3 linked regions of the Coturnix japonica genome follow. The protein of the gene in region 1 interacts with the protein of each later gene in a pairwise test. Links are inferred from orthologs where the notes say so. Each region holds a gene or a part of one and is shown in the gene's direction. Other genes may lie near its edges.

Region 1 (7,379 bases):
AGAAATACAGGCAGTATCCTTGGAGTCTTTGCACCAGAGGAATGATAGGCTGAAATTACACTTGAATGTGAATAAGGGAAGCATCCCTCTTTACTTCTGGCCACATCTGCCCTTGTGTCTACTGAGCCAGCAATGGCTACAGTGAAGCCAATTACTTCGGCAAGCTCATCTAACAGAAGGCAATTGCACCAGGAAAAAATGAAGCTTTTCTGTTGAATTTGTTTGCTCACCTGATTCATTGTGTGCTTTCAGTTACATAAAGAGGAATGAGATAGAATGCGTGGCCAAAGAGAGATGGGGGGAGACTCACTGTGCATGGAGAGCTATCTTCATGGCCACCAACTAAAAATCTTCTCAAGCTACTGAGAAAAAACAGGGAATGATGCTTAGCTATTCAGGAAATGCATAAGCTTTAAAGGAGCAGATCTGGCTCAACACCAACACAACTATGAAACAAGTTTACTCAGGGGAAAGAAATCCAAAAGCACTGAGGAACCAAGGAAACAGAGGAACCTACACTGGGGAAACAGATGCTCCGTTGTTTTGTGCGGCTCAGAAGTCTATTCAGCAAATCATCCACTTAGTCTTAAACAAGTGGGCCATGGGGCAAGTTTAGGGTGCAAGCCCATTTAACCCAGCCTTCCCCTTTGCCCAGAAGGAGATGACCTCTCTACCACAGTCTGAATGACGCTCTATGTCTTCACACAGGCAGGCATTTCCCAATGCCTCTGGCCTCAGCCCATCCTCCCACGTAGAGGCAGGAGCTCAAATTCAGCCTTTGCCTGGGAACCTGCCCTTGATATCCTCTACTCCATCCCCAGAGCAAGGAGAGGGGAAGGATCAGACACCAGAACAAAAGCACGATGAACACGCTGCCTAGAGGAGGGTCGTCAGCCTGGGAAGCGAGAGGAGGGAGGCAGCTGCTCCAATGAAAGCCTGGTGGCACTGGCCTGGCTCGTAGACATACTGTTGTCGAAAGGGATGGAGGCAACAGGCTCCTGGATGCAAGAAGGGAAAGACAGCTTGCAGGAACCTCCTACACCCTTGGCCTGTCAAGTTTGGGCGTCCAATTAATGCTATAAGTTTTAGCTCTAGCATCGCGGCCCTGAAATGTATTAGAAATACATCAGGCCTAAATAATTCAGATGTCAAAATGAATGCGAGGAAGAAAATGATTTAGCAGAAGGATTGCTTTACTTTCTGAAGCTGCTATTTTCTTTCTGCTCATGCAGCCATACAGACACTCTAACAAATCAGTGAAGTGGATGCACAACCAGACAGCATCACTGATTACATCTTTCCTTGAACAAAAACAGTGAAAAAAAAAAAAAGCAAGAAAAAGTTATTTAAAGAGTAGAACTATTTGATGAGATTTTATCTGCTGTGTAGCTTCAAGAGAATTCCCAAACTATCTACCATCAGGACTCTGAGGGCTGTTGTATATTGTAAATGAATATTAAATAACTCTCGTTGGCGGTTATCTCCATTTCAGGGTTGCCAAATCTCACTGCTTCATCATGGATCTCATAACGCTGAATTGTTTATTTAAACCACAATTCAAAGGATCGTTGATTAATGAGTTTCTTGCCTTTCATTTTTTTAATAAGTGTAAATTTCTCAGGGACGTACTTATTACAGAAGGTAAAAAGATAATCAGCGTTAGTATTAGAACATCCAGAGACGTTATCATTCATCTGAAGCTTTCTCTAATGAAGAGAGAAGTGAATCACTGCTTTGCTGGCGGGTTCGGCAGCTGCCTGCTGGCAAGAGAAGAATGTGGAGGCTGAGGACACCATGGCTTCTGCCTAAGTCCTCACCCCAGACATAAACCCTGGCTCTGGATTTGTTTTCACTCCTCATCTGCCTCCACCTTCCGTCCTGATCTCTTCATATTACCAGAAGATTTCATGAATGTAAAAAATTCCACTGGCTTCAGTCTGGCTTCTTTTGTGTCCCCACCCAGAGCCAGAGGCCTGTTTACAGAACCACCCGAATTACAGCAACACTTAAAAAAACCCCAAAACATAACCCATACAACTCAGTATATTTTAATTCTAGCTCAACTGCTGACATGACAGAGGGCAGCACTTGCATGTTTGCTGCCCTGTCATTGCAAGCAGACCTCTGTAATGAAGCAGAGCTGCGGTTGGCTACTATGGGCAAGCCTTGGCAAATTGGGATGGTCATTTTTCCTTGATAGCTGTGAAGTCCTGCTGTTTGTGGGATAGGAAACCTAGGCAAGAGGTGATCCTGGCTCCTTCAGCATCACTCTTAACATTCTTCAGCCACTTTCCTCCTCCATCTGATAAAGCCACCTAAAGGATTTTCAGACATCAGCACCCACAGACACTGAGTACGAAATGATAAGATGGAATTCAGTCATACCCCCTTTCTTTATCATTTGCTTTCTAGATCTTTAGAGTAGGTATGAATCCCATTTAGAGGCTCTTAGAGTCACCGTCTCTGGAGGAGTTCAAGAGCCGGGCAGCTGTGGCACTGAGGTACACGGTTAGTGTGCATGGCGGGATGAGCTGGTGGTTACGAACTTAGGCTCAGAAACGATTCTAAGCACAGTTCCACCTACAAAGAACTAGCTCCATGACACGGCGCTCACAAGCCCACACCTAAAGCCGAAGCGAACGTCATCTCCGCCCCCCGACATGGCGGCTCCCCACGCCCCAGCCTCCCGCGCCGTCCCGCCCTTCCCCGCCCCTCAGGGCGGCCGTTGCCGCTTCCCGCCTCCTGCCGGTCGTGCCGCAGTCCCTCGGCCGCTGGAGGCGCTGTGTCCCGCTGTGTCCCGCCCGAGCGGGGCTGGATTACGGCGGGGGCGGGTCCGCGAGCGTGATGGCGGCTGCGGCAACGGCGGCCGGGGGAGGTGGTGAGCGGAGCAGCACCAGGGAGAGGCTGCTGGCGGCGCTGGAGGATCTGGAACTCCTGGCCAGGTACCCGATGGGATGGCCGAGACTCGGTGTCGAGGCTCCGGCGGGGAAAGCGAGCGAGGAGCCGGGGTTGGGTTGAAGGATGAGCGGCGGCCTGGGGCCGAACGCACGCGTGGGGCCCGGGGGGCAACAGGAGAGCTGTGTCCGTGCTCTGGTTCGTGTGCTCGGAGCTTTGTTCCTCGCTGGCACCTGTGCAGTCTGCCTCCCAAGCAGTCTGTCTCTCCAGCAGCTCTTATTACTCGCTACCAACCTGCCGTGTGGCTCAGTGACTGCCACAGGGATAGTGGGCATGGTGGGAAGAGCTGATGGATGGACTGGATGTAATTACAGGTCTTCTTCAGCCTTAATGATTCTGCGATAGCAAACCCAAAGCCTGTCAGCAACATGTGAGTGATCAGCAGTACCATGGAGCTGGGCCTTTCACAGTCGCAATCAACTTTATTCTAGTCGTAGAGAATGTCATTAAGGTTGGAAAAGACCTCTTGAATCATCTAATCCAACCATCACCCTGTCCCTACCATGCCCACTAAGCACATCCCTCAGTGCCACAGCTATATGTTTCTTGAGCACCTTCAAGGATGGTAACTTCATTGCTCCATTTGAGGTTCTTTGTGGCTCTACATGATGGTGGGAAAACTAAATGGAGGCAAGATCAAGAGGTCTGTTTGAGAAGCTCTTTTAAGCTAATTCTTGTGAGTTTGGTGCACAGCTGATACACCATTGTGAAATACTTATGTTTATGGAAGTAAAAGTGAAATCCCTGTCAACACTGTGATGTAAAACTGTAAAATACTTAAGAACAAGAATGATTTAATAATGATGTAAATACTCAGTTGGGGATGATTTGGTGTGATTTACAAATAATAGCTTAGAAAACTGCATAAATACTGTTTTCCTTTTAGGGAACTAATTGAAATTTTGGCAATTTCAAGAAACCAGAAGCTTCCACAACCAGGAGAAGAGAGCCAGGTAAATTGACTTTCTTAGTTGCTATCCTTTTTGCAGGTAAATGCTATGTCTTCTTATTTTCTCCCTTTGTACATGAACTAACAGAATCACAGATCACAGAATGAGCCGGGTTGGAAGGGACCTCAAGGATCATGTAGTTCCAACCCTCCTGCCTGGCAGGGCCACCAAACATACACCTTTACTAGATCAGGTTGCCCAGGGCCCCGTCCAACCTAGCCTTGAACACCTCCAAGGACGGGGCATCCACAACCTCCCTGGGCAGCCTGTTCCAAGGCCTAACCACTCTCCTAGTGAAGAACTTCCCCCTAACATCCAACCTAAATTTTCCTTCTTTTAACTTAAAACCATTTCCCCATGTCCTGCTATTGTCAGCCATTTCGAAGAGTTTACTCCCCTCCTGGGTGTCCTGAGACTTAGTCCTGAGACTGAGGACTCCTAACGATGATGATGAAGCTTTGGCATCACTGAAAAAGCATTCTTGGTTTCATGTTTTTGATTGCTTGTTCATTTGTTTCATGCTTCGTAGGCTGTTTCTGCAAGCTGAGCAAGAAATAATAATCTTGTGGATATCAGTTGCTTTTTGCAGTGTGGTGGAGGGTGCGTTGTTACTTGAGCTAATTAAAAGTTCTACAAAACTCTTGTCTAATAGATCCTGGAGCTGCTGATTCAGAGAGATGGAGAGTTTCAAGAGCTAATGAAGTTGGCAGTTGATCAGGGGAAAATCCATCATGAAATGCAGCTTTTAGAAAAGGTAGTAGAAAAGAGAGATAATGACATTCAGCAGCTGCAGAAGCAACTGAAAGAAGCAGAGCACATACTGGTAAGTTCATAATGATGTGTTTGCTTCTGAGCATCTGCTAGTAGGGAGGGGAAAAGCTTTGGAGAAAGTTTTGTGTTAGTTTGAGAAGTTTGAAATGTTTAAAACTTTGTGAGAGCTTTAGAGTTGGTTGTTTTATTGTCTTCCCCCCCTCCCAGTAAAACTACTTCCTTATCATGGCATTCAGTTACTTTATATTGATAATTTTCTACAAATCTACTTTGTTTCTGTATATTTTGAAGCGTTTCCGGAGAAGTTTCTCTCCTAAAATGCAGTTACATCAAGGGTTTAGTCACACAGATCTTAATACAGAAGGATACAAATGAAAGATACAGTGAAGTTTTGGTTTAGAGTCATAGAATCACCAAGGTTGGAAAAGACCTAAAAGATCATCCAGTCCAACCGTTCACCTATTACCAATAGCTCCCACTAAACCATGTCCCTCAACACAACATCCAGTCATTCCTTGAACACCCCCATGGTCGGTGACTCCACCACTTTCCTGGGCAGCCCATTCCAGTGCATGACCACCCTTTCTGAGAAGTATTATTTCCTAATGTCCAGCTTGAATCTCCCCTGCTGTAGATAGTGTTGTTTCTTTCTTGTTTTTTTTCACATTTAGGCCACAGCGGTTTATCAAGCAAAGGAAAAACTGAAATCAATTGAAAAGGCAAGGAAAGGTGAGTATCCGCGATCGTACATAACATACAAACAGTTGTAAAGAGTGTTGCAAGTGAGCTCAAGTTAGTAATCTAAGTTAGTAATTTTCTCTTAAGGCTATTACAGATTTCATATTGCCTAAATCAAATCATTTCAGTGTGACTACCTGGAAAAGTGAAAGGGTTTTTTTTGTGTACATGTATATGATACCATTGTTTATAAAAGACTGATTAGCTGGTGATATTTGTTTGTATTTGTATCAATTGCTGCTATGAGTGGCAGTTTCCCAGTCAAACTGATTTTTTTTTCTTCTTTTTTTTTGGTAGGCAGCATTTTTAAGTTTTGTTTATAGTCATTTTTGCCATACTTCCTTCTAAACAAATCAAGGAATTTCAGAATGATTCTAGTAACTCTAATACAAGTGTATTTATTAGAGGAACTTGAATACAAGTGTATTTATTAGGGGAAGGTCTACTGCGTACATGTATAACTACAGCTACGAAGAAGAAAGAGATTTTAATTACTGCAGAACTTCTGTAGTAAAAGTGCTGAAATTTTCTTTAACAATGTGCTTGTCAAGTGCACTGTGGAAGATACTGGTTTGTGTTTCTTCAAAAGGCTGAAGACCTGTTAACACTCCAAGGTATACGGAACATGTGGCTGGAAAGTGAATTCACTATGACGCTTGTTCTGAATCTCTGATCAGTCATTGCATTTGAAGCATATTTTGATGTTTGACAGAATGACTTTCCTAATTTTTTCTGTATGAAAAACCATCCAATATTCAGAAATAATCAAACGATGCAGTCTCTTAAATACAGGAACTTTTCTTCCTTCTTCCAGGTGCCATTTCATCTGAAGAAATAATTAAATACGCCCACAGGATCAGTGCTAGTAATGCTGTTTGTGCCCCTCTGACGTGGGTACCAGGTAAATATCGTGCTTATGACTATTCTTGTTCTTGAATAATAGAGCACAATCAGTATCTGGTTTTAGAATGTTTTTACACAATGAAGGACAGTTTGATTTATTAAAGATATGTATATTTTTATAGCTGTTACATCTAGGGTTTCTGAAGAAATTTAATGATCCATACTGCACATGATGTTATGATGTGGAATTTTGACAGCAACGTTACAAAACCATGACAACTTGTCATAGAATGACTTGGGTTGCAAGGGACCTTAAAGACCATCCAGTTTCAAACCCTCCACTAGACAAGGTTGCCCAGAGCTCCCATCCAACGCAACTGTCAGTATTTCCAAGGATGGGGCTTCCCCAGCCTCCATGGGCAACCTGTTCCAGTGCTTCACCACCTTCATATTGAAGAATGGCTTGCTTATATCTAATGTAAATCTACTTTTAGATCTAATTTGGTTTATATCTAATCCCAGTCTATCACTACATGCCCTTGTAAAAAGGTGCTCTGTCCATCTTTTTTTATCAGCCTTCTTTAAGTATTGAATGATTGCAGTGAGGTCTCCCCAAAGCCTCAACCTCAACTATCTCAGTCCCTCTTCATAGGAGAGATGCTTCAGCCTTCTGGTAATCTTCATGGCACTTCTCTACACCAGCTCCAACAGCTCCATGTCTTAATGCTGAGGGCCCTAGAGCTGAACATAGTACTTAAGTTGGAGTCTCATAAGAGTAGAGAATAGAGGGAGAACCATCTCCTTCAGTCTTCTGGCCACGTTGCTGCTGCTGCAGCTCAGTATACAATTGGCTTTCTGGGCTGCAACTGTGTGCTGGCAGCTCATGCCCAATTTTTCATCCATGAGTCCCTCTTGACAGGAGTACATTTAGTGCGTTCATCCCATAATTATTTAGCTGTCAAGTAACAGAGAGAGCAAAGATATTCTGAAGTTACTGTAATGTAATTTTTGTGACAAGTTAGAATGAGCAAGAAAAGTCTCCAGTTTTAATAGAATAGGGGTGATGCTCATTCTTGATCCAGACAGGAAACCAGACACAGAAGAGAAAGATGATAATATTTT
Region 2 (7,741 bases), on another chromosome or scaffold:
CCTCTTCTGCAGGTATATTTTTTGCTGTGTATGACATATGGAGTCCACGCTGAGCTGCTATCTCCTGTAGTGCACTTCGCTTGTCTTCATATCCCAAGTACCATTCCCTGTGTAGTGAGGGCAGATGGGTGAGCAAGGTGGTGATGTGAATAGAGACTGGGGCACAAGCACTAGCTGTGGGTGGAAGGCTGCTTTAGGGAACCACTGAAACTCTGAACAGGTTAATCATTTAGCTGCAGTTGCTGGGCTGAATGCTAGGTTGCCTTGAGAAAGATAATTAGGATAATTATGCTTACGCAGTCAAATCTTTTAATCCCCTGTGAACTGCAGGACTTATGTGTTTAACTGGGAATAAGGTGCTGTTCCTTGAAGAGAGGGCCATCAGCAGGGAGAAGCAAAGACAACAGTAGGCTGTGGGGAGCTTTTGGAGGTCATCTGGCATGATCTCCCACTCAAAGCAGAGACAGCTTTGAAGCTAGATCCACATTTGAAGTAGCTGAAGCTGCTTAGGCCTTTTGTTGGCAGTCAACTTATTGATATCTTCAAGAGTGTTGCTTCCACAGCTTCTTTAGCTGCAATATTGCCTGCTTGCTCTGTGAACTTATTCCTGACACTGAGTGAGGATTTCTTCTAATGCAATCCATCTGTTGCTTCTTGCTCTTCTGTGCATCTCCAAGAGCAACCTGGCTGCACGTTCCCCATAACCCCTCAGTAACGAGATGGATCTATTAGTCAGCTGTCCTGTTAGCTTATTCAGGCTGAGCAAGCCCAGCACTCTCAGCCTGTTCTACACAGCATGTGCTGTAGCTCCCTGATCATGCCTTCTTGGATAGGCTTGAATGTGTTAGTTCCTCTAGCAGAGAAGCTAGGCAGGAGAAAACTGGACACAGTGCTCCACTGACAGGAGGATGACGTTTTGTTTTAAAATGCTTTTTTTTAAATCAATCTTCCTTCATTTCCAGGAGTTCGCCAGCATTCAGAAAAGCTGCAGCACTTTGACAGTGCCATTTCCAAGTTCAGGAGCTGGCTAAACAAATGGCTTCTAAGAATACTCAGTATTTTGTAATCCAAAAGCCAGTGATGTTGTAAGGAAGAGCCCAGGCACCAACAGCCACTCCTATCTTCAGTCTGAATTCATCCATCTTTTCTTTCATTAGTAACAATTACAGAAGTTGCTGCCTTTCAGTTTTTCTCTTGTTCTGCCACTTTTCTTCGTTGTGTGAGTTGTTTACTTTTAAGAGCATATGTACAATTTTTATTCTGCAGACACACCCCTGTAATGACTTCTGAATAGCAAAAAAAATGGTGTGATTAATGATGTACCTGTGTCTGCCAGTAGATTGGTTCCTTGTAACCACTGCGTCAGCACAGACCTCCAACTTGCTCTCACTTGTGCCCAGCCTTGTTCTAGGTGAGGAAGGGAGAAACTGGGAAACCTGTCTTTTATTCTACACCAGTGACAAAAAGCCAGTTTTATTTGCACACCCATTGTTGTATATTTTAGTTTGACATTGCAATACATGAGGGCTGCTCTGAAAGTAACGCCTCCTATTTTACTATGTTGGCCCATGATGTCACAGGTGGATGTTGGCAGGGGTTGAACCTTCCTGCCAGTATTCCATTCCATGTTGTTCTCATGTGACAGATGGCAGCAGAGGGGCAGTCCAACAGAACGGTGTCTGGCATGGACGTGTAGATGAAGCAAAGGGGTGTGACTGAATTCCTGAATTACTATTTAGTTGATATTTACAGCATCTAAAAGCAGAATTGCTATTGCTTTCCTTTTATATTTTACCAGACATGTTTTAATAATGTTAATGAAAGCAAAACCAAACTGAGTATCTAGGAAGACTGGTTTTGCTTTTACTTTAGAGTTTAGGCGCTCTCCTCAAGTGGACGATGGGAGAGTAAGACACAACCAAAGCATAGGCTGCTCACCTTGCTCTTCCTTCAGCCTTGCGCTGAAGAAGAGGTGCTGGTGGAATGCCATCCTGTCTGCAGGATGCAGACAGTGGAGCACAGACTGACGCCTGCAACAACACAGGACTGGAACTAGAAATACAGGAAAAACGTTGTTCATTATTTTCAAAGTCAGTGAAAGACTCACAGACCTTTCTCTCATTTGAACTGTCTTCTGCTGTGGCTTTCTTTACATGCTATTCAAAGTACGTGCTCTTTGCATTTCGACTGTGAAGTTGCTGCTTGTTCTAGCAATAGTTCTCCCTGTTCCTCTCGGGCCAGATTGTTTTCTTCTCTCTACCTTGTGGGCAGGTATCAGTTAATTGTATTTTTTTGCTGCATGTATCTGTAACATCCTCTTTTTTTTACTTCTCCTGGGTAAAATTGAGTCCCTTCATGCACTGAGATTTCCCTTGGCCTGCCTCTCACTGTGCTTTTCCTCTTGCATTCAGCCCTATATCCTGTGCCTGCAGCTAAGGTGTATTTTGCTAATGAGGCATTCCCATTGTTGGCATGGTTCTGAAAGCAGCTGGATATCTCTTTTTAAACTTGTAGCTTTTGGTAAAAGATGCAGTTCTAACGGTTTGATTATTTTATTGGAAATGCCAGTTGAGTTAGGAAACTTGAGACTTGGCTTTCTGCAGTTTGGGAAATGTTTCTGAGGTGGGACAGAAAACACAGATTATCTGCACGCTGTTTGCTTGTTCTGAAGGAATGACCTGGAATGTGCTTTATTTCACGTGATAAGGTTGATGCACAATTGCTGCTTAGTGTAGATATGGAGGAACTCAGTGCAGCCAAGAGTTGAGATCTAATCCCTCAGCACCTGTTGGTACATTCCAGCAGGGATGGGACATGGTGGCAAAGGAGTGAAAGGGCTCTACTTTCTGTGACTGCTGAGTTCTCTGTTTAAAATCCAGTAAATTTTAAAATATGCCTAGAAGTCATCAGAGGTTAATACGATTTTTTTTTTTTTCTAATTAAAGTGAGGCTATTCATAGAATCTCAGAATGGGTTGGGTTGGAAGGGACCTCTGAGATCACCTCATTCCAACCCTCTGCTACAGGCAGGGACACCTCCCTCTCGACCAGGTTGCTCACAGCCCCATCCAGCCTGCCCTATGCTTCCTGGGGAGGGGGAGTATCCACCACCTCTCTGGGCAACCTGTGCCAATGTCTGACCTATGAATTAAAGTACATACAGAGGCTGTAGAGGAAAAAAAAAAAAAGCTTTCAAGAAGGCTTTTTGAGTTTCTGCATCAGCTTCAGCATGTGTCATGTGCTGCACAGGGTGGCTCTGGGAAGCAGAGTCATGTAAAACCAGAATAACTTGTTGGCATAGGCCGCTCTCGTGGGACTGCAGTACTGCACATACGTTCTTGTTGGTAATGGCATCCTTCCTGCAGCACCATCTGACTTTAACCTGCAGCATCCAGCTTGGCTTCAGGTTGTCTCCTGACCTCCTCCTCTGGGGAAGCAGTGCTCCAGCCGCAGGGCATGCTGCTGCCTCTCGCTTCAGTTGCAACCTGCAGCCTGTGCGGAGGCAAGCATGCTTGTCCACACAGGAAGCCAGGCAGGAAATCACTTGCCACAGTTCTCAAAACTGTGTGGTGCGGCCTTTCAGATGGGGCCTGATGTTCTCAGTTGGTGCTGTCACTTTTCTCCTACATCTCTTTTCCTGTGTCCTGTGTGCCTCACCCAAAGTCCCCTGTGGTTTCTGGAGCTTGCAGAGAATTAGTGCAGGACGTGCCCCGCCAGCCATTAAAGTGAAAGCAGTCTCCAGTGGCTGCATAACAGCTCTGTAGTCTAACTGTACACCGACATGCCGAGTACATGAATCAGAAATGCAACCCATGTCAAAAAGTTCAGATCCTGGTTTGCCCATGGTATTCAGGGTTCACTGGAAGATTTTTATTGGGTGGTTCTATTTTATTTAATTTTTAATGTCTATCCCTATGACAGCAAGCTTACAAACATTCAGTGACTAAGTGTTCGTTGTCAGTATGCATGAGATGGAGTACACTGAGCCTGTCTGCTGGCACCACTGCAGCTACAGTTTCCTGTTATCTTACGGGAAAAAATAATTGTATCTTGGCTTAAAGCAGTGAAGTCATCTGATTCTGTGCCGTTCTTTCTTTAAGTATGTTTTCTTCTAAGCGTTGAGAAATGGGGTGTTTGGTAATAGGTATTTGCCACAGTACAGAGGGAGAAATACTGCCTTCCATATGAGGGGAGAATGAGCTCCGTGCTGTGACAGCTTCGTAGTGCTTTTACACCGGGCTCCTGAGAACTCATTAAGATTGAATTGTCCATTTGCACTAAAAGTTCACATTCGCAGCACAGACTTAAGGAATAAAAAAGTAATCTGCAGGACAGCACCAGGGCCATGGCCAGCACTTCATGCTGGGCTGCTTGCTCCAACCCACCCTCCCCAACCCAGTGTGGCTCCCTGTTAGCGGTGCTGCACTGCTGCTTGCTCAGCACTGCAACTTCCTTCCAGCTCTCTGTTAGAGGAAGTGAAACCACTGAGACGTATTTTTACGTTCTGAGGTGCCAAAGTAAAATGAAGCGTTTCGGGCTGAGGGGAAAGGTGGCTGAGAAGAGTGGCTGCTATGGAGAGTGGGAGGAAAGCGTGTCCGCTCCATGATCACCGATAAGGGTGTGATAAAGCACGTGCTGCGTTTAGCAGAGTCATTAAGCTCTATACTGAGTTGTTTTTCCTTGGATACTGCCGTCTGCATTGACAATTGCAATTCCATTTGCGGAACGAGTAAGTAATTGCTTTTATTAAGAGGAAGTTTGTGTGCCGAGTCTGCAGGAGTCCTGTGAGCGTCCTGGTTAAACTCAGCTTGACTGAAGTGCTTGTAGCTCTTTCTTACGTAGGTGGTGAGGGAAAATAAAGCTTAGGGAACAAAAGCAGCTTGCAGGTATCTTTTGATTGACTGAGATGCTGAAGTGTGAAATTTATGCATTCTACCATTCAGCTAGAAAATGTGTACAGCCGGCCGGTGCTGTATTGCTGAGACCTTAATAAAGGAGTTGTAGTTTTATGTTTTCAGATGAGGTTGGGGAAGAAGTAGGGGTTTGTGTCTGCTTGTCCCGGAGGACAGCCTCCTTCCCTTGCCTGTGGTGGAGCAGACTCCTTGCCTAGACTGTTTCCAGACTCTGTGTTTACAAAGTAAACTTTCCTTATGCCAAATGCATGTGAGTGGCTGAAGCTGGGCCTGCTGGGGCTGCAGGAAGGCAGCAGCCCGTCCGTGAGCTGCTGCAGGAGGTGCAAATAAATATAGTTTTGCAGGTAGCTCTGGGATCTACTTTAAATGTTCACAGAAGGGCCCATTAATGAGGTGGTATAAGATCTTTCTGCAACTCTGTTCATTAAGATTATATTATTTCTGCTGTGATTAGTGAGATGAATGGGTGGACACGGAGATGCTCCTCAAATAGCAGGTGTGTGATGAGGTATTGACTACCAATTTGTCTGTTTTCTTCCTTCCCCAGTGGCCACGGATGTCTTCAATTCGAAAAGCTTGGCCATTCAGGCCCAGAAGAAGATCCTTGGGAAAATGGTGTCCAAGTCAATAGCAACTACTTTGATAGATGATACCAGCAGTGATGTGTTAGATGAGCTCTACAGAGTGACAAAGGAATACACACAAAATAAAAAAGAAGCAGAGAAGATCATCAAAAACCTCATTAAAATAGTCCTCAAATTGGCTATTCTCTACAGGAACAATCAATTTAATCAAGATGAAATTGCGCTGATGGAGAAATTCAAGAAGAAAGTTCATCAGCTGGCGAAGACGGTGGTCAGTTTCCATCAGGTGGATTATACCTTTGACAGGAATTTCTTGTCCAAACTGTTGAATGACTGTAGAGAGCTGCTTCATCAGATCATTCAGCGTCACCTAACAGCGAAATCGCACGGACGTGTCAACAACGTGTTTGATCACTTCTCCGATTGTGAATTTTTGGCTGCCTTGTATAATCCCTTTGGACCTTATAAACTTCATCTGCAGAAACTCTGTGACGGGGTCAACAGAATGCTAGATGAGGGGAACATATAAGCACCTGTGCTAAAGTTGACTGCCCGTGTGTTGTTTGTAGGTGGAACACTGTTGATTTATGAAGGAATAAGGGAGCATGAAAATGGGGATTTCTTTTTTTCTTTTTTTTTTTTATATTCTGACAAATATTTCAAAATGATCTTTATTAAACTGATTACTTCTTATGAGCTATCCATTGCTATTTGCAGTCCATCTGGAAGAAAGATGGCACATTACCTTCTTTTGCTGTGCTTTGCCCATGGGAACGGATGGATAAACAGAATAGAATAGAAAGGTCCAAGTAGGGTACACAAAACAGATACAGAAAACAAACTAACTTGCTGTCAGACAATCCATATATTTATATAAATATTTATAAGCCACTGGTGTCCAGTAATGTTGGTAACGTGGTGTCATGGTACACTCTATGATATCTTCAATTTATTTGTAACATTTGTATCTGATCGATTTGTATTCTTTTATGCTGTCTGCACAGATCACAGCTTCCTAGTTTGCCCCTGCAAGACATTCAGTTTTGCATAACACCAGTGATGCTGTCACAGTGTCTGAACTGGTTTTGTGCTTCTCCAGCTCAGCAATGTCTGAAAGGCCATCAGGTGATCCCAGCAGATGTACACAGATGCTTTGTTTCCTTTGATTGTTTCAGGAACAATAAGCTGCAGTGAAGTAGCCTAAATGGGGGGAAAAAACACTCCCTAAACAGAACCTGTGGTACATGCATATGAAATTGTAGGGTAAAACACAGTGACTTACTTCTGCAGTTCCTTAAGATTGTTGGAATCCTGCTAATATGGCATAATTCTTTCAGCAAAGGTCAGCTTATTTTACACTTTGGGTTTATGTGCATTCGGAAAGCTTAATGATCTGAAAAATAAATTCCAAGCCAGTTTGCTTTGTTTATAGTGTATCTAACAACAGATCATTTTGGGGTTATATGCTCTTGAACTACTGGAGGAGTGACATCTTGAATCAGTTTCTGTTCTCATCTCCCCTCCTACCTTTCATCCTTCCTCTTCCTCCCTCATCTTCTCCCTGCCTTGCCCTTGGGGTAAATAAATGTGACTTCCTAGACACTGTAATGTACTTAAAAGTGTGAAGTTAATACATTTCAAACACCTGAAGACTTTTGTTAGAAAGCATATAAAGAATTTGCAGTTTATTTAATTGCCAGTTTTTTGTTTGCTGTTTGCTATGTCTGTTTTAATGAGTAAACCAAAGAATATTTGCACTCTGAACTTTTCATGTTTTTTTTTTTTTTCCCCCTCCCTGTTGCAGTTTGAATTACAAAGAAAGTACTTGGAGCATGCAGACAACCAGAACATTACAGTCTGAGATATTGCTTCAGCATCCCACGTCAAGTTTTAGAGTACAGAGTTCACTTGAAATCGCATTAGCTCAGTCACTAGGCTCTGAATAATCCCCAGAAAGACACCAGAGGTTTGCCAGATAAATGTGTGTTCAAAACACAGACTCCTTCTGTACAAGCCATTAGAATACAAGAGGGAGAGCTGATTAATATACTGCACTGCTTGGCTGGAGTAATGTGGAAGTGATGTAAGAACAGTGCCTCAGAATTTGAGGAGAGTTAGATTATTTGTTTGACATCTGAATGAGTGTCAGTTAAGGTCTGTCCCTCCTGTTTTACTGAAGCAGTAAATACATGGCAGGTTAGCCCACCAGAAGTCATTTATAGGGCTACGAAATCATAAGGAAGAT
Region 3 (7,646 bases), on another chromosome or scaffold:
GGGGGGGGATTTTGCTTGTTTCTGTTTTTTAAATATGTAATTGTTGCAGTTGTAAGCATAAAGCCAAGTACTTCTTAACTTTATTGGTATTTTTTAACTACTCACAGGTAAGGTTCTTCCTGGCGTGGATGCCCTGAGCAACGCGTAGAGAACAGCGTATCACCCCCGTTACTGTGCACAGCCCCTGAGATTCAACACTTCTATGCTTCTGTATTTCAACTCTGCGATAGGCAGATCACAGGATGTAAACACAAACTGGACAGGATTTGAGAAGACAGCAGAGATATTTTATGGCTGCAGTTTACATGATCTGGATGTGTTCACTCTTATCCCACTTGAATTATAATGTAGTGCATTTAAACTGTTGTTGTGGATTTAGAGTGTATATATTTATATTTTGCCTTCTCAGAGAGATTAATCCCTCTTAGACATGTCTGTTTCTCAGAAAGGAGTGCACTGTGTAGCTTCTTCAATGTTCCTAGCAGGCATTTCTGTCACTTGACACGGTTCAAAAACAAAAGGGGACTCCAGTTTTTTGGAGGCCGATCGTAATAGCTGCTGAATAAACATATTTAAAATGCTGACAGCTGGTATGTAGTCTTTCTTTCAGATTTTGCATTAAAATACCCTTATTCTAGCACTAGGAGTCAGATCTTTCTCATTATTATTTTTTTTACCCCGTGGATCTGTAAGCATCCAGTCATCATCAATGTGAACTTTGGTAAGGAAGTTATTGTAGATCTGGTGTTACATCAAAACTTGCATGTCATCAAGTAAGAGAGAAGATGAAATTTTAATAGTAGGTGTAGTAAAAAGTGGTCAAAGCTTCAAATGTGGTTATTGTAGAGAAAACTTGCTGCACAGTAGACAGCTAATGTCTCTAACTTAAATATTCTGGAACCTTTGAAGGCAGGCAGGTAAGAACTCAAGGTTTTTGCCTTCCCCCTTATGTACACAAACAGAACTGCAATACTCTTGTTCATGTATGTGAGCATAAAAGTGCTAAAACAAGCAGAGCAAAACAGATAATCAGGCTTGTTTACAGATCAAACACATTGCAGAACTACAAGCGTTGTCAGTGGAATAGCACCAATGTGGTGCAAATGTATGAAGTTGGGATTATTCTGATCCTGGCTGTTGTGGGGTTGGCTCCTGCACCTGCTACAGGACACAAATGTAAGTACAAGGTAGCTCTGAATGAAACTCAGTGATATAGCAAAATCACATTGGCTACAAATCACCCAAAAGTGTGTTTTGGATCAAGTCAGCAGTCATACAAAGCTTTACTCAGAAGAACTACAAGAATGCAGTGATTCAAATATGTATCTTTCTCCTGGATCACTGAGCAGTGATAAAGCAGTGATTGCCTGCTCTAGACCTAGTGGCTTCCCTGCAGTACTATCACACTGCCATCCTGGGTGTTGGGTGTGGGCTGAGCTGAACAACGCAGGGATGAGCTGTGGAGAGAATCTTTGAGGTGAGCAATAAGCTGCAATACAGAGCATGCTTTTAAGTTAAAGTATGTAATGTATACAGTACTGCCAAGACAAAATGGAGGTATGTGTTATAAACAGACGTGGTCTATTTGCTAAATGGTACTTGGTCACAGCAGGATGCAAATTAAAACCCAATCAAGTTAAAGTGCTTATGAAGGTATATATGAAAATTATACTTGCTACATTTTAAACCTAAAGGCGACACTTGAAAAGCAACCAGAAATAATGTAAATGATTGCAGCACTGTAAGTCTTCTCCCTCCCTCCTTTGTAAATCTCCCAAGCATTGTCTGATTACACATGAATGATGCAGATTTTTGCTAGGATTGCTTTCTAGCTGCTGCTCATGTTTTCCAGGCAGGGGTGCAGACCTCCCACAGCTGCAGTAACGAGGCAAAGAAAAGAATGAGCTTGTCAGCCACAAAAAGACTATGGATTTTGGAAATCTACTACTACAATAACAAACGTTCCACCGTGTTTTATAACAGTCTGTTCTTGTCTGGCTCTGGCAAACAAGGCCTTGTTAGAGCAAGGCTTGTTTTAGTGTCGCTCTTGGAATCCTGTGTTGCTGGCTTCCCATGGAGCAAAAACAAGACTTACCCTCCATATCTCCTTTGGTATTTACAGTGAAAGGTCGGTGTGTGGCCACTACCTCCTCTTTGTCCTCCTCCTCTTCATCAAAAGCAACAAGACAAAGCTGTCTGTAATCAAATATAGCAAGGAGTTGTGATGCACCATGAACACAGATGTATGCACTCAAAAATATTTTTGCACCTGACTTTTGGATTCGTGCTATGTATGTCTTAGAATGGTTTGTTTGTTTGTTTCCATGCCTTATTCTAATTATTGCCACTCTTAGGTCTGTGTGCTGAGAACAAACCAACAGCAGAACTAGACATGCTTAGTTTTTCAGATATTAAAGCAAAGGGGATGAAATGTCCTTGCATGAGTCTGCAGGAGCTGTACGCTTGATGACCAGCAGCTGATTAACAACAATTTCCAGATGTTTAACCTTTGCCTATAGTTTAGTTTTAGTAACTATTTGTCTATCTGTAACTATCTATTTCAAGAGAGCATGTGGCAGAAGGCCACAAAGATGAGGGGCCTGGAACATCTCCTGTACAAGGAGAGGCTGAGAGACGTAGGGCTGTTCAGCCTGGATAAGAGAAGGCTGAGAGGGGATCTCAAGTGTAAGAGTCGAGTAGATGGGAGCGTGCTCCTGTTTGACCAGGGGGTTGGACTCCATGGAACCCCGAGGTCCCTTCCGAGCCCTGCAGTTCTGTGACTCTGTGAGGGGCCTCCAGTGGGCAGCAGCCATTTCGTGAGCTCAGAAACCCCACTCACCTGGAGGTAAGGGTGAGCTCCGGGTCCTTTTGTTCTCCCTGCGGGCTCTCCTCGGCGTACCTCACTCACAGCGGTAACAACAACTCGCTCGGCCTTTTGAGAAGGACTTCTGAGCTTTCATCCCCACCAAGTCCCGCTCGGACCCTCCGCTCGCTGAGGTGCCGCCACCGACAGAGCCCAGCACGCAGCCCGGGGCGCTGAGGAGGGGCGGGCGGACTACGCCTCCCGGCAGCCACTGCAGGGCCCGGCCCAGCGGGGGATGCCGGGCGCCGCCGCCGCCTGGTGAAAGTTATCCACCCAACCTGGGCAAGGCGCCTCCCAGAGCCGCGCGGCGCCTCCCGTTGCCATGCCGGCTTTGTCACCTCGGCGGGGAAAGCGGCAGGATGGATGAGCGGGCGGCCGACGGGGCAGGCGCCCGCCGGGTAAGGAGCGGGAAGGGAGGGACCGATGGAAGGCGCGGGCCGCTGCGGTGAGGCCGGTTCTCCGCGCCTCTGAGAGGGCCCGCGGCCGCCCTGCCCGCCGGGATGCCGGGCTCGGGCAGGTGCAGGGGAGCGGCGCGGGGCTCCGCCGGTGGAGAGGCCGCTGGGGGAAAGGGGGAGCGAGGAGTCTGCTCCCGCCTCACGACCGCGGCCCTCCTGCCCTCCATCCCTCCCTCAGGGGCTGCCCGCCGCCCCGCGCTCGGCCTGAGGGTACTGTGGCCGCGCTGCCCCGTCTCGGGCCCCTCCCGGGGACGGAGGCAGAGCCGGGGCTCAGCCCCAGGCCCCCGCGAGTCCTGAGGAAGACTCCTGGGAAAGCTTCGAGAAGGCTATGAGGGTTTGCCGTGAGTACCTGCTCTGCGGTCAGAGGGGTTTGCGTGTGTGAAGGGGAGAGCAGAGCTGTGCTGGCCCTTGCCATGTCTGTTTTTGGGTCCATGTAGCGCCAGGGGACACTTTGCTCCTGTAGTCCCACACAGGAGCCCTGTGGCCTCAGTGCGTGCCTGGCCCACTGCTCCCATTCCTGCTGATCCACCTCTGCCCGAACCCCAAATTAAGCAGAAAGGACTCCAAATCCTCCTACTTTGGTTCCTGAGAGAAGAAAATGTTGATCTATGAGTGATGATCCCAGAAGTGTTGGGAGCTCTGTATCTGTGTCCCTGCCCCATAGAGAGAGAATGATCCCCCAGCAGCCCCCTGAGGTCTGGGTTCAACCATCCCTGCGCTGCCCCAGGTAAAAAAGACTGGGCCTTTATAGGCAGGCTGATTCAGGTTGGCCTATAAATATTCTCAGCGAGACTCACCATATGGTGGGAGCAGAGCCACAAGTTCCATCTGTGCCAATTCCAAGATATCTTTTTGGTAGAGCAGAGGGACGGAAGGCTGAATCTGCAGTCACGCAGGAACCTGGCGGCTGTTGCTTTTGCTTGATGTTGTAGGTAGCCAGAACCCAGCGAAACCACCCCTATGTGCCAGGACACCTCCTGGTGTTCCCATGGCACAGGTACTTGGGGGGCTGTTTTTACTTCTTAAAACATCTGGTCCCAGGCTCATGCCCATGGCATCCTTGCCTGGAGTCCTTTACCACGAGGAGCATCAAGAAGATGCCCATTTGATTTTCAGGTTAAGTTTCTGTGTCACCTCTAATAAATGATCTTCTGCTCATCCCTCATGCAACAGAAAATAGAAAATTCCATTCTAATTCAGTCCTCGTTCTTATTCCACGTTTTAATAATAGTTTTTCATTTAACATCTAATCCTGTCCTAGCACCTCTAATCAGTAAGGCCCAAGGTGCTTTACAAAAGAAGGGAAAAAAACCTATTCCAATTATCCTCATTAAAGCTGATATCTTTTGGCTTTGGGCAGCTTCTGCAGATAATATAGGTCATAAATAATTAGGAATACAATCTAATTAAAAGAAATCCCAGTTGTAAACCAAAGGGCCACACTGAAGAAGCCGGTCTTCAAAGGCACGGCCTTGTAACCTAACCTCCCTGATCAGAGCAGCATCCCATTAACCTGCAGCTCTTTGCCCTCCTGACCTGTGTGCCCCAGCAGCAGGTACTGCTGGGTGCCTGTGTAGGATTGTAGAGAGGGAGAGATTCAGGGTGTCTGTGACAAAAAGCATTCTGGTTTGAATAAAGGTCTGGTGTTTAGCAAGCTACCATAACCCACAGTCTGAACTGAGCAAAATGGAACTAATGTAGGGGTTTTTTTTTTTAGCAAAAGAGAAATAATTACTGGAAATTAGAAACACTGCTCAAACTCGAGTCCTGAAGATAGTTAAAGTAAGTTGTGTCCTGGATCAAGTTCATACGTGACCTAAATAGAATTCTGACCCCAGAACTCACTCTGAGCACTATCTTTCATTAAAGTTGGGTGTGAACTTTCATGTCTGGGAGTTTAGGCTCATACTAAACTGGATCTCTGTGTTTTACCTGCGTGCCTCCTTGGAAGCTGACTATCTCAGGGCTGCTGTTTATCTGTATAATTCAATAGTAGGGCTATGTGGGAGAAATCCCTGTTCTCATTCCAAGAACTTGCTGTCACGTATTAATTATTCTGTGGCAATATTTGTGCTCTGATTCCTAGTTACACAGTGTTTAGCGATGACCTAATTGCAATGTTCTCATTAGCAGAGAAGTTTCTGAGTTTGACTTTCTAGTTCACCTTCTCCATAAGTCATCATACGTTCTACCATCAATACTGCTACTTTAGCCTGATGTTTTCTGGGTCGTCATAAGGCATTTGAAGTGCATCCATAACAGCTTCTTGCATTACACTGTTGTATCCTACAACTTAGTTCAGAGTGAGAGCAGACCATCTTGTAGGTGAAAATGGCAGAATCTGAAGAGCTATGTCAGCTTTCTTACCACTAAAGAAACCGCACCTGTGTTTGGTGTTGGGTAATTTCCTTGAAAGCTGGGAATACACCAGCAGCTACGAACAAACCTAAAATGGCCAGACTCCTTTTGGATTGTCTTGTGCAGGGGTTTAGTCTCAACCACGAGATGTTGGTTTAATTTTCAAACTCAGAGGCTGCTGACTGCAGGTTACATTAACTGAGTCCCTTTGGGCTTAGGAGAGGTCTGATTTTGATCTACCTGTGCTGTAATTTCTTTGTTTGTAAAACCCAGATGTTTTGTGTTAACTGTAATTGTTTTATATACATGGAGCTCAGAATAGTAAGGGATGGCTGGAGCTCTGGGAAGCACTGGTGATACTGGACATGGGCTCCATGTGGCAAGAGGACACCCACAGCAGTAAGGCAGTGGGGTACACAAGCACTGGGAGCTGCAGGGTGGGGGGATGAGAGCAGAAAAAAGGGGGAAGGATCAAAGGAAGTATATAAAAGTATAACATTAGAAACAGTGTATGGGGCAGATGGCTGACAGAAAACCTTGGAAGAGCAGGTCTAGAAGGATGTAGGGAGAAAACTAAACCTATGCTGCTTGGACAAGGCTTTGCCTTTGCATGTGATAACGTTCTTAGAAAAACTTGGTGCCACTTATGGGAGAGACGAGGGGAGAGGATTCCTGGAAAAGTACATATGCGCACAAAGAAGCCTTTGGTTTCTTCCCTTGCACATTTGTAGAGAGCTCACGTCTTTCTCTTACCCCAGGAGACATTCCTATTTCCTTTCATTTACCAGTGTTTGGAAGGCGGATGGAGATGAGGCACTGTTGGATTCCCTTATTAACTTAATCTGTGGGAAGCCCTACTTAAATCATTGAATTTCTCAGTCTTGATAGAACGAAGTATTTGTACAGTGAAGTCAAACAGAAGATGGAGGTTCCTGCACAGGGAGGCTTTGACGCTGTTCCAGTCCTGCGCCTGTGACTCTTACGCGTGCGTTTCTTTGAAGTCTGAAGCTTAGGAGTCTGCATTAATGATCAAGGGACAGAGCTGAATACAGAATTCGAATGGTACAAAGGTAAAGGTGTGGATATGAATGTGGAAAGAGAATGTTTAAGAGTAGTCTGGCATGTATGATTAATATTAAAAAAAAACCAAAACATGCTAATTTCCTACAGTTACTCAAGTTCTTGGGGCTTTTAGCATCTTCTCATTTAATGTAGATCAATGATCTCCTGCTGAGTCCTGTCATATTCAAATTATTAACTTCCTTAACAAGTAGAAAACTTGAGGTCTGAAACCTTTAGCCGTTTTGCACGATGGGAAACTTGCTCTGATCCTTTAGGCAGGAATCTCTGTTCCTCACTCGGTGTTTTAGGGCGCTCTGCTTGGCTTTTGGCTGCTGCTGCTGCTGGCCCCGCTCTGCCAAATGTCAGTGATCCCTGAACGCTTTCAAAGTTCCTTAGGACTCTCAGTGGATGCAAAGCGCTTCTGAAGCTGAGATTTGTCAGGAACCGAATGCATTAGAACAATTATTTCTGACTTTGTTACGATTGTGTTAAAACTTTGCTGTTTTCCACCATGCTTGTTCTTTTTAGGGCTCTCAGCTGTTGCTCTGATTTGGGAACCCTTATTCATACTTTTTACTTCATAAAGTAAAACAGTCAAAAGAAAATGCAGCACATGCTTGCTGAACTCGGTAGATAAATATCTGTTGCCTCAAACAGCGAAGCAGAACCTTAGTTTCAATTTCCAGCCTACCGTTTCAAATTCTATTTTTCCAGAACTCCACCAGCAAATCAACTCCCCTGTACAGATTACTTGAATTCAGCTTTGTTGGGGACCCAAGGAATGGACTTGGAGGCTCAGTTTTCAGTACTCATCTGATCTGTAGGGACCTCAATAAGGGATCCTAACATGGTATTTATGTCCTACCTGACATGGAGCTGCTTCTGAAGCCCTGGCACCACAAGGCTGG

The links.
Region 2: the proteins of MED4 (region 1) and TNFAIP8 interact in binary tests that used the Homo sapiens proteins (3 or more experiments, as listed by UniProt). The two-hybrid records come from large-scale screens. The link is inferred for Coturnix japonica from reciprocal best matches to the Homo sapiens genes MED4 and TNFAIP8.
Region 3: the proteins of MED4 (region 1) and AMOT interact in binary tests that used the Homo sapiens proteins (3 or more experiments, as listed by UniProt). The two-hybrid records come from large-scale screens. The link is inferred for Coturnix japonica from reciprocal best matches to the Homo sapiens genes MED4 and AMOT.

The regions. Positions count from the first base shown.
Region 1 is NC_029516.1:150,968,248-150,975,626, reverse strand, and holds the start of MED4 (mediator of RNA polymerase II transcription subunit 4), read left to right. Parts: upstream 1-2,771; 5' UTR 2,772-2,844; coding exon 2,845-2,942; intron 2,943-3,841; coding exon 3,842-3,908; intron 3,909-4,557; coding exon 4,558-4,728; intron 4,729-5,347; coding exon 5,348-5,405; intron 5,406-6,228; coding exon 6,229-6,315; intron 6,316-7,379. UniProt on the Homo sapiens protein: Component of the Mediator complex, a coactivator involved in the regulated transcription of nearly all RNA polymerase II-dependent genes.
Region 2 is NC_029547.1:63,275,939-63,283,679, reverse strand, and holds TNFAIP8 (tumor necrosis factor alpha-induced protein 8), read left to right. Parts: upstream 1-3,552; 5' UTR 3,553-4,601; coding exon 4,602-4,728; intron 4,729-5,459; coding exon 5,460-6,025; 3' UTR 6,026-7,260; downstream 7,261-7,741. UniProt on the Homo sapiens protein: Acts as a negative mediator of apoptosis and may play a role in tumor progression.
Region 3 is NC_029519.1:12,242,952-12,250,597, forward strand, and holds the start of AMOT (angiomotin), read left to right. Parts: upstream 1-3,457; 5' UTR 3,458-3,646; coding exon 3,647-3,659; intron 3,660-5,035; exon of another isoform or gene 5,036-5,100; intron 5,101-7,646. Other genes in the region: PGK1 (phosphoglycerate kinase 1), read left to right, coding at 108-148.